Linked DNA regions of Arabidopsis thaliana. The protein of the gene in region 1 interacts with the protein of each later gene in a pairwise test. Each region holds a gene or a part of one and is shown on either strand. Other genes may lie near its edges.

What was found. The genes of interacting proteins can lie anywhere in the genome.
Region 2: the proteins of TCP11 (region 1) and IAA10 interact in binary tests that used the Arabidopsis thaliana proteins (3 or more experiments, as listed by UniProt).
Region 3: the proteins of TCP11 (region 1) and NIMIN-3 interact in binary tests that used the Arabidopsis thaliana proteins (3 or more experiments, as listed by UniProt).

What each region holds. Positions count from the first base shown.
Region 1 is NC_003076.8:2,678,673-2,682,495, reverse strand, and holds TCP11 (TCP family transcription factor), read right to left. Parts: upstream 2,096-3,823; 5' UTR 1,669-2,095; coding exon 949-1,668; 3' UTR 503-948; downstream 1-502. UniProt on the Arabidopsis thaliana protein: Transcription factor involved in the regulation of the circadian clock. Acts as a repressor of CCA1 by binding to its promoter. No binding to the LHY promoter.
Region 2 is NC_003070.9:1,057,725-1,061,759, forward strand, and holds IAA10 (indoleacetic acid-induced protein 10), read left to right. Parts: upstream 1-1,745; 5' UTR 1,746-2,005; coding exon of another isoform or gene 2,006-2,084; coding exon 2,085-2,356; intron 2,357-2,558; coding exon of another isoform or gene 2,559-2,599; coding exon 2,600-2,910; intron 2,911-3,007; coding exon 3,008-3,140; intron 3,141-3,232; coding exon 3,233-3,302; 3' UTR 3,303-3,485; downstream 3,486-4,035. Other genes in the region: AT1G04090 (vacuolar sorting-associated protein (DUF946)), read left to right, coding at 1-1,523; SDD1 (Subtilase family protein), read right to left, coding at 3,733-4,035. UniProt on the Arabidopsis thaliana protein: Aux/IAA proteins are short-lived transcriptional factors that function as repressors of early auxin response genes at low auxin concentrations.
Region 3 is NC_003070.9:3,037,204-3,039,996, reverse strand, and holds NIMIN-3 (NIM1-interacting 3), read left to right. Parts: upstream 1-1,588; 5' UTR 1,589-1,748; coding exon 1,749-2,087; 3' UTR 2,088-2,243; downstream 2,244-2,793. Other genes in the region: G6PD4 (glucose-6-phosphate dehydrogenase 4), read left to right, coding at 1-73, 173-207, 327-483, 554-750, 826-1,026, 1,120-1,357; AT1G09410 (pentatricopeptide (PPR) repeat-containing protein), read right to left, coding at 2,437-2,793.

The sequences.
Region 1 (3,823 bases):
CCCAGTTGAAATTGACGGCTGCTACGAGGGAAAATGCGAGAAAGACTGGAAATTTCGCAGAGGCTGACAGTGAGAATCGCGTGGACTTTGAAGGAGAGAAGCAAAGTCTACACCTTTACCCTTTATTCTTTGCTTGCTATAATCAAGGAATTACTTTTGTAAACACAGAGATCTCTTCTGTTCCGTCTGATCTTCCCCGATAAGAAAAGTCTTGTTTGAATCAAGGAGCTTCCGGTCAAAATCGATGAGAAGAAACGTTGCAGGATCACCGAAATTTCAAGAACCAGACTATTTTAGGGTTACCGGTTCGAGACGGTTTGATCCAATGGTCCCCTATCGGTTTGTTCCGGTTATAACTGATAACGATGAGTTAAATTGAAGTATTTCTTTTGTGTTTGAAGCTTACGATTATACTGCTCTGGATAGTGGATGGGCTTGTTATTAGTTTTAAAAGTTTTTGGTGGAACCTGAATTATCATCCGGACCGGCTCCGTTAACCCGAGTTCAAATTTGTTTCCTTTACTACGAAAGAGTAAATAGTGGGACAACTTCATTAACGAACGAACCATAATAGAATTCATGCTTAAAACTAACGGGACAACTTCAAATTTGTTTCTTTTGCTGTTTCTTTAGTTTTCTAAAGAGACTTGATTGAATGGCAATGATCACTAGTTAAACGACTTCTCTGTTTCGCTAGTAAAAACAGAGCTTTTATAGCGTTTTAGGTACAACAATCAATCAATCTCTCTCTCTTTCTATCACTCTCCGAAACAAATTAACGAGACCAAATATTCTTAAACCCTAAAACCCTAATCAAACAAGCAATAAGCTTAAATTAAGTAAAAAAGGAGCAAAAGAAACCGCAAATTAGAGGTACTTTCTAAACACTTTCGATGACATAAAACATAGGAATTTTTCTATACATTACCAAAAAGACAATACCATTTCTCAACGTGGTTCGTGGTCGTCTTCCCTCCGACCCGACCCGTTAGCTCCACCAGACAAAGAAGCAAGCAAATTGAGATGATGACCCGGAAGATAATTCCCAACTCTAGCTGCTGAAGCCTCACCCATTGCAGCTGCTGCGGCGGCGGAAGCTTGCTGTTGCTGCTGGTGGCGGACGAAGAGTGTAGCTGGTTGCTGCTGCTGCGCAAAAACCATTTCCGGTGGAGCTCCGGTTGCAAAGCTCCAGACTTGTCCGAAATCCGGCCTCGCCGGAACAGCCCAAAACCCACCAGAACCACCACCACCCATTAACGAAGTCCCCATTGTGTGTCCCACTGTTAACCCTCCTCCTCCTCCGCCGCCGGATTCTCCTTCCTCCGCTCTGACGACACGTTTCCCGAGAGTAAACGGAGAAGAAGTGGAGAGAGAAGCAGTGGAGAAACTCGCCGGAGTAGTGCCAGTTCCAGTGGCGGCTATGATAGAAGGCTCAGCTTGACGGAGAAGCCACTCTATGGTTTGACCATCGGACTTGTGACCTAACTCTCTGGTCAATTGAAAAACTCGAGCTGCGCAAATGATTGGCATACGAATCCTTCTTCCTCTTCCGTCAACTTTGCTGTGTCGATCTTTAGACGGTGGTTTCTTAACGGCGTTAAGAGGTCCTTTGTTTGACGTCTGCTCGACTATGATGCCGTTACTCACTGCTCCGTCGTTGTCGGCCATGGAATTAGGATTTCGTTATCACTATCTAACTCTCTCTCGAGGAGAAGAAGAAGAAGAAGAAGAAGAAGGAGGTAATGATTTGAGAGGAAGCTAGGCTGGTGGAGACAGGAAGGAGAGCACATGGCTGGTGGGGTCCCACACAGCTCACTTCTGCTAGGTTTTTTTAATTTGTCCGGACGCGGTTGAAGCTCACGCGCTTGACTCCGGTGTTGACTATAGCGTTGGACCACGGTCGGGCAGGAGAATTTAAGTTTTTAGGTTTAGGAGTTAGTTGGGGTCCCCATTTATATGGTTGCTTGAATTACATTAGCTAATTTACGAGTAATTAGGATTCGTAGAAAATAAGTAGCGTTACAAGAATAATATGAATTCGATTTTGGTTTTTACTAATTCTTATTACTTCTGTGACATGTAACCACAACAATGCTGATTTTTACCTTTATTTCTTATCGATAAAATTTGTTTTAGAATGAAGTAGTATATGTTTTATGCTTTGTAACCACAGTAATCATACACGTTTACCTCATGAGTTTAATGCATTTTATAGGATGTAGGGAAATTAGATTGCAATTAAGACAAAAGCTGTTTCCAGTTTCCACAATAGTTGAAAAGATGAGGAATAAGAGACAATCAATGGTGGTAATTGATTGGTGAGTATACTTTACACCTACACTGATTACGATTCTATTTTGTACGATTTTAATTTATTTATTTTTAGTCATTTATAATTTCACATCTACTAATTTGTGATTGTCTCTTATTTTTTATTTTTTATTTAACTTCTAGGATAAATAAATAGCTCAAATAAAAGAAATGACAATTACGCGCTTTATGACACAGGTTACTAATCTGAGTATAACCCAACCACTGTGACCCCCACACGATATGCGTTCGTGTGTGCAATTTGTATAATCAAAATTCTTATTACCCATTAAGCAATAATAAAACAAATCATTCCATTTGGAGCGTGGCATAATAAAAGTAGCCGTGCCCACCTGGCAGATATGCCGATTTTGATATGTCGTTGCGTCGAGATTTTTTAAATTGTTTCGCGACAATAATTTCTTTCATGATGAATATATAATGCACATTATACTATATTATCGTCTTAATATTTGTTATATGATTGTGAAATCCTTTAACAGAAATAATTGTTATGATGATTGCCGTACCCATACGATACAACCATGAGTGATGTTTAAATGCCTTTTTTTAAAAACTATACCCAAGCCAACTTCTTAAAGTTGTCGATATAATACGTGAAGGTGCTATCAAAAGCGATGAAAAGAATATTTTTGTGCATGCTTAAAGTATGATAGATAGTAAAAACTTGAAACTACGACGCACAGCTGAGGAACCACCAAACTAGAGACTCGTAGAGAAATTTTAGTCACATTTCGTAGCTACTTGCTAGGATTCAATTGAACTAGCTAGTTCTTAAAAGAAAACGTTGCCACAAAAGCTTACATACAAATTGTATGATACAATTGACAATTATTAATGACCGGCGCATGTTAAAAGTTATATTGAGTGATTAACTGGGATTTGAATGATTAGTTGTGGGGTTAGCTGGATAAATGCATAGAAATTTTTAATGATCACCAATTTACCAAAAATGCTTATAGTATATTCTAATCTTTTTATTTTATTTTAAAATAGTAATATGTGTACGAATCATTTGACAATTGTCAAATGTGTTAAACAGCTGGAGCCCATTCTCATCTGCCTTTATTTATTAATGGGAATTTGTATAGAATTATTAGTATGGGGGTTGGTGGACGAAAATACAAGAAAGTGACACTTCTGTCAAAAGAGAATCAACTCGTGTTTCATACAAATATCTTCTTTTCTAGTTTTCTCATTTGGCGATGCCTCTCTAGATTTTCTTAGCTTACTCCACCAATCAGAATAATCCACGTCATCTCGTTTTTTTAAACTGAGAGGATCGCTTTATCTTCTGCCATCTATTTGACTAGCGTGACTAAAAGACGTTCAGAGACCAACTCGCTTTGTAGTTTGTTGTATTTGGTATTTGTTTGATACTAAATTACTAATCATGTGAACTGTGAACGATTCTGACTTTGGTATAACTCAAAATTCTCTAGTGACTTGATTTTTATCAAACGATATACATGCAACGTAAAGATTAACGCAA
Region 2 (4,035 bases), on another chromosome or scaffold:
CAGAGAAGAAGAAGAACATTTCATTTTACAAACCAAAGGGATTGTTACCTAAAGACTTCCATTGCTTAGGTCACTACTGTCAGTCTGATTCTCATCCTTTGAGAGGTTATGTACTTGCGGCAAGAGATTTAGTGGATTCATTAGAACAGGTAGAGAAACCTGCATTAGTGGAACCTGTTGATTTTACTCTTGTCTGGAGCTCAAATGATTCAGCAGAAAATGAATGTAGTAGTAAGAGCGAATGCGGTTACTTCTGGTTACCGCAGCCTCCTGAAGGGTATAGATCGATCGGTTTTGTGGTTACAAAGACTTCCGTGAAACCTGAGTTGAATGAAGTTAGATGTGTTAGAGCTGATCTTACTGATATATGTGAACCCCACAATGTCATTGTCACTGCTGTTTCAGAATCTTTAGGTGTTCCTTTGTTTATATGGAGAACTCGGCCTTCAGACCGAGGAATGTGGGGCAAAGGTGTCTCTGCAGGTACTTTCTTCTGCAGAACTCGGCTTGTTGCTGCTAGAGAAGATCTTGGTATCGGTATTGCTTGTCTAAAGAATCTAGATTTGAGTTTACATGCGATGCCAAATGTTGATCAGATTCAAGCTTTGATTCAACACTATGGTCCTACACTAGTCTTCCATCCTGGTGAAACTTACTTACCTTCTTCTGTTTCGTGGTTCTTCAAAAATGGTGCAGTTCTCTGCGAAAAGGGAAATCCAATCGAGGAACCTATCGATGAAAATGGTTCGAATTTGCCTCAAGGAGGAAGCAATGACAAGCAGTTTTGGATTGATTTGCCGTGTGATGATCAACAAAGAGATTTCGTCAAGCGAGGAAACCTTGAAAGCTCGAAACTTTACATTCATATTAAGCCTGCTCTTGGAGGAACGTTCACGGATCTTGTCTTCTGGATCTTCTGTCCATTTAACGGACCAGCAACCTTAAAACTAGGACTCGTCGATATCTCATTGATCAGTATTGGCCAACACGTCTGCGATTGGGAACATTTCACTCTCCGAATCAGCAATTTCTCTGGTGAGCTTTACTCAATCTACTTGTCTCAACACAGTGGCGGCGAGTGGATCGAAGCATACGACCTTGAAATCATTCCCGGAAGCAACAAAGCCGTTGTTTACTCTTCAAAACATGGTCACGCAAGCTTTCCTAGGGCTGGGACTTACTTACAGGGATCGACAATGCTTGGGATTGGGATAAGAAATGACACTGCGCGTAGTGAACTCTTGGTAGATTCGAGCTCACGGTACGAGATCATTGCAGCGGAGTATCTCAGCGGAAACAGTGTGTTGGCAGAACCGCCGTGGTTGCAGTACATGAGAGAATGGGGACCAAAGGTTGTGTACGATTCAAGAGAGGAGATAGAGAGATTGGTGAATCGATTTCCGAGGACGGTTAGGGTTTCGCTTGCCACAGTGCTTAGAAAACTTCCGGTGGAATTATCCGGCGAGGAAGGTCCTACAGGACCAAAGGAGAAGAACAATTGGTATGGCGATGAAAGATGTTGAAATTCTCACTGTTGGGAAACAGATGTGGTGAGATTACCATCGGAGCCCTAACTGTGTAACTTGTAAAGGAAGATGAAGCTTTGATTGCGCAAGAGATTAATTACACAATTAGCGTAGGATTAACGTAAAACTTGTCGTTAGAAGTGTATACAAGTGGGTCCCATCATGTATTTAATTAAAATAATAAAGTTATATAGACGAACAAACCTCCACCAAACGCAACGCACACATTCGTGTACCGTTTCCGATTTTTCGTTCCTCCAATTTCATTCTCTCTCTCTTTAAGAAAAATTCCTTGTTTTTGATCCGAGAATCGAAGTCGCCCTCGAATCAAGATTAAAACCTCGTTTAGTTCTCAATTTCAGTTCTGTGGATCCGTGCGTGACCTCAAGTTTTTTTTTTTTTTCTGTCTCGAAATTCAGAATCGTAGAGGTGTTGAAAGTTGAAACCTTTTTTTTGGTTTGCTTGGTTAATGGGTTTCTTCAAACTTGATCGATAATTGGATTTGAATCAAGGGTTTTAGTGTTCTTGCTTTGTGTATTCGTTTGGCAATTTGGGATAATGAATGGTTTGCAAGAAGTTTGTTCGTCAAGTGGGTCGGTGATGATCGGACTACCAGCTGAAGAAGACGAAAACGCCGCACATTCGTCGGAGGATTCATCTTGCCCCGACGAGTCAGTGTCAGAGACAGAGCTCGACCTAGCTTTGGGTCTTAGCATTGGTCGTCGGAAGGTTCGATCGTCTTTGTCTTCCTCGTCTTCTTCTCTGACCAGGGAAAGTGGGACCAAACGCTCTGCTGATTCTTCTCCGGCTGCCGCCTCAAACGCAACCAGGTAAAAAATTCATCTTCGAGACTTTATATTATAACCTATATGAATGATTGGTCTCAGATTGCTTATTGTTACAGAATCAAAGCAACTTAGAGGATAGAGCTTTTAGACCTTAAACTTTGAGAATGAATGAATCACAGGATTGAATCAAATAGAGTGTTCCCTGAAATGTTTAGTTAAACTTTTGAATCATATTGGTTTATACTTGTTCGTCTTTTGATTTAATATCTTTTGGTAATGGAGCAGACAAGTTGCTGTAGGTTGGCCGCCTCTACGGACTTACAGAATCAACAGTTTGGTCAATCAAGCAAAGTCTTTAGCTACGGAAGGCGGCTTGAGTTCTGGCATTCAAAAGGAGACTACAAAAAGTGTAGTGGTTGCTGCTAAGAACGATGATGCTTGCTTTATCAAATCGTCCAGGACTTCTATGCTTGTGAAGGTGACAATGGACGGAGTTATAATTGGAAGGAAGGTTGATCTCAATGCTCTGGATTCTTATGCAGCCTTAGAGAAAACTTTGGATCTAATGTTTTTCCAGATTCCTTCTCCTGTAACAAGTCAGTTACTAATTCTGTTTCATGAGATTCCATGTGATTCTGTTTTTCAAATTCTGTGTCTCTTGAAATTGACTGGTTTTGATTGATCGATTTGTAGGATCCAACACACAAGGATACAAGACAATTAAGGAAACATGTACTTCGAAATTACTGGATGGCTCATCGGAATATATCATAACATATCAAGATAAAGACGGAGATTGGATGCTTGTAGGAGATGTTCCTTGGCAGTAAGTGACTACCCTTATAACTTCCCATTCATCATCTGTATTTGTAATGTGGCACATCCATTTCAATGAAAACGATCTTTTCATCTTCTCAGGATGTTCCTCGGGTCTGTGACAAGACTGAGAATCATGAAGACATCAATTGGAGCTGGAGTAGGTAAGTAGAGAGTCCTATATAGCAAAAACAGTTTACATCTCTTTGGTCTGTAACTCATATATCACATTCACATATATACATGTGCATATGTTTATACATGAGTGTACATATGTCTTGTGGTCGTTTGTGAATATCAAACAACAGCTTAACCTTGTCTTTAAAGATCTTTGTATATTTAGGGTTTTTCACTCTATTGGTGCCTGATCCAATATACCACTATAACAACAAAGGCATGCATCTGGATTAGGGTTTAGTGATGAAATCAAGCTACAGTAATATGATAGAATCACCAGTAGTTTCATTCCCTGGAAAATGAAATACAGCTCTTGTGCGTACAATAACAACAATCAATCAGCTTCACGAGGTTTTCTTAGCATAAAAACCTAATAAACCTAACACAGTCTTGAAACAGAATGAAAAACGTTTTCCTTCATTGGCTCAGTTAGTCTTCAAGGTTACAGAGATTGGACTTCTAACTCGCTGCATCAGATTATGAGAGTTGACCCAAGTCAACTGCCCTTGTGCAAAGCTAGCCACCTTCCCTCCTCTGTTTTTCTTCTTCAATACAAACCATACTCTATAGCTCAGCGTCTGATCCACGTGTTTGAACACAAGTCTCTTAGGATTGACAATAACTTTGATCCCCTCTGGAGCCTTGACATTCACTGAGTATATCGAGTTAGGACTCCCAACGTTAGTGACACGCCTTGTGATCATCTCCGTAGTCTTGCCACGTTTGAA
Region 3 (2,793 bases), on another chromosome or scaffold:
TCTGACAGTGTTAAGGTTTTCAAATCTAGTTTTTGAACCACTATGGAACAGAACATACATACGCAATATACAGGTAGTGTTTCCTTCTGATTGTTTGTAGTTGTGTATAGTGCCTGAACTTTCCTCTTCCACATTCTGGTTTGTTCACTTTGTGTATAAATGATGTTTCCAGGTTATTATATCAGAATCAATTGCGCAAACAGAAAAGTAAGGCACAATAGTTCTATTTTCACCATTTCTTTGCATGTGAGAGTAAATTGTGTTGTTTCAGCATTCTTAGACAAATCAGTAATGTTATTTTCTAATTTCCTACTGCTTTTTTTAAGGTTTTCTGATGGATATGGAATAATACGGGACATAGTGCACAGCCATATACTTCAGACAATCGCATTACTTGCCATGGAACCTCCGATAAGTCTCGATGGTGAAGATATCCGAAATGAAAAGGTCAACCTGTACTGTAAAGAACAAAATCGTCTTATGGTATATATGTAAGTTGTGTACTCTTGTTCTGTCAAGTGACTTGGTGACAAACCTGCTTCTGCAGGTGAAGGTTTTAAGATCAATTCGCAAGATAGACCCGCGTGATGTCATCCTTGGCCAGTATAAATCCAGTTCCCGAGACAAGAACGGTGTGATCTTGAACGGTGTAGACCCTACATATTGTGCAGCAGCCTTGTATATTGATAATGCACGTTGGGATGGTGTACCTTTCCTTGTAAGAGTTGGCACTGGCCTCATTAAACACAGGTAAGAATAATTATTCCTACTCATAGACATATCCAACTGTCATAACAATTGATTGGTGTGCCTTAATGTTGAAAGAGTGGAGATTCATGTGCAATTCCGGCATGTTCCTGGAAACCTATACCGAGAAAATATTGGAATAAACATAGATTTGGGGACAAATGAGCTTATTCTACGTGACGAACCTGATGAGGCCATCCTGGTGAAAATCAACAACAAGGTTCCTGGTTTAGGTCTTCAGCTAGACGCTTCTGAACTTAACTTGCTCTATAAAGACAGGCAAGTTTTGCATTCTCATCTTTGTTCCTACACATTTTAAAAATCGAACTTTTGCGCCTTATGGTTGGTTGAATTGTTGGATCAAACCTGTAGGTATAAAACCGAAGTACCAGACTCATATGAACACCTAATTCATGATGTAATTGACGGAGACAATCATCTGTTCATGAGAAGCGATGAGGTTGCAGCAGCATGGAACATTCTTAGTCCGGTTCTAGAAGAGATAGACAAGCATCACACAGCTCCGGAGTTGTATGAATTTGGTGGACGAGGACCAGTTGCGGCATACTATCTTTGGGCCAAGCACGGTGTCCCATGGGCAGATGACTGAAGAAGAAACATAGATGCAGCAACAAACAAATGAGAGTGATTCTGAATGGTTATTGTGAAGTGTGTTTGTTTAGCTTGAAGCTGTGCCATTCCCTGTAGACTGTACATATGTACACATGTATGTCATGTTGCTATATGAATGTCCATCATGGTGGGGTCCATAATAGTGTTGAAAAGTCTCCAAAGCCACCCAAAGGAAAGAAGAAAGTCTGAGAGACTTTTAGATAAGGTCATGTTGTTAGTCTTCCCACTAGAGGCAATAATTATATCTTCTCCACCAATTCCTCCAGAAAATTCTTCCAGATGTATCATGTGTTGATGATCAAAGTAGGATGAAAATGATGTAACTAAAGAGAAACATTTTCATAGGGGAAGGAAGAGAGAGCGGTTCAATGGACAGAGACAGAAAGAGGGTGAAAATGGAGAAGGAAGATGACGAAGAAGAAAAGATGGAGAAGTTGTACACAGTGCTTAAAAACGCAAGGGAAATGCGGAAATATGTCAACAGCTCCATGGAGAAGAAGAGACAGGAAGAAGAAGAAAGAGCAAGGGTTCGTAGATTCCCTTCGTTTCAGCCAGAAGATTTCATTTTCATGAATAAAGCAGAGGCCAACAACATTGAAAAAGCAGCTAATGAGAGCTCTTCAGCATCCAACGAGTATGATGGCTCTAAGGAAAAGCAAGAAGGATCTGAGACTAACGTTTGTTTAGACTTGAATCTTTCTCTGTAGCATACATACATACAAGAGACAAAGAGCTCTTCAGTTTCTGTATAAGCAACAAAGAATGTTAGTAACTACGTACCAAAAACAAATGTGTCATGGAATTCTAGTTTTGCTTGAAGATTGTTCATCACTTCTTATTAACCATATTGAAGAAAATGCTACAAATGCACATTGATAACAAGATCAGTAAAAAAATATATATATATTAGCAGAAGAACTTAGAGAGAACTCTCATCAATGGCTGAGCAAGTTCCTATGGTTTGCGAGAATTACTCCATTTTGCCAACGCTCCAACGAGGATTGATAGCTAAGCCTAAGATTAAAAAAAAACATTCTGCTTGGCATTTATTGAATCTCACCAGTAATCTTTACAGGAACACTCTCCGTTTCTGAAGTGATGGAATCTGTTTGCATCTCTTAGAATGATCTCCCTCTCTTTCACCTTAGAGATTATTTTTATTGCTGTGTGGCAATCACTACAAACTCTAAGGTTCTTCATGACTCGGATGGGTATTCCTTCAGATAGCTTTAAAAGAGCATAAGCTACCGCTAGTCTCTCGCTATGATATTTCAGGCTATTGACTTTCTCTTCCTCGTCTACATCGTGCAATGCATAGCTGCAATCAGGATTATACCCGGCTTCTCTCAATAACCCATCCAATTCATCCAGTATCTTCAAAATAGATTCCTGCTCGGGATGGCTATTAATACC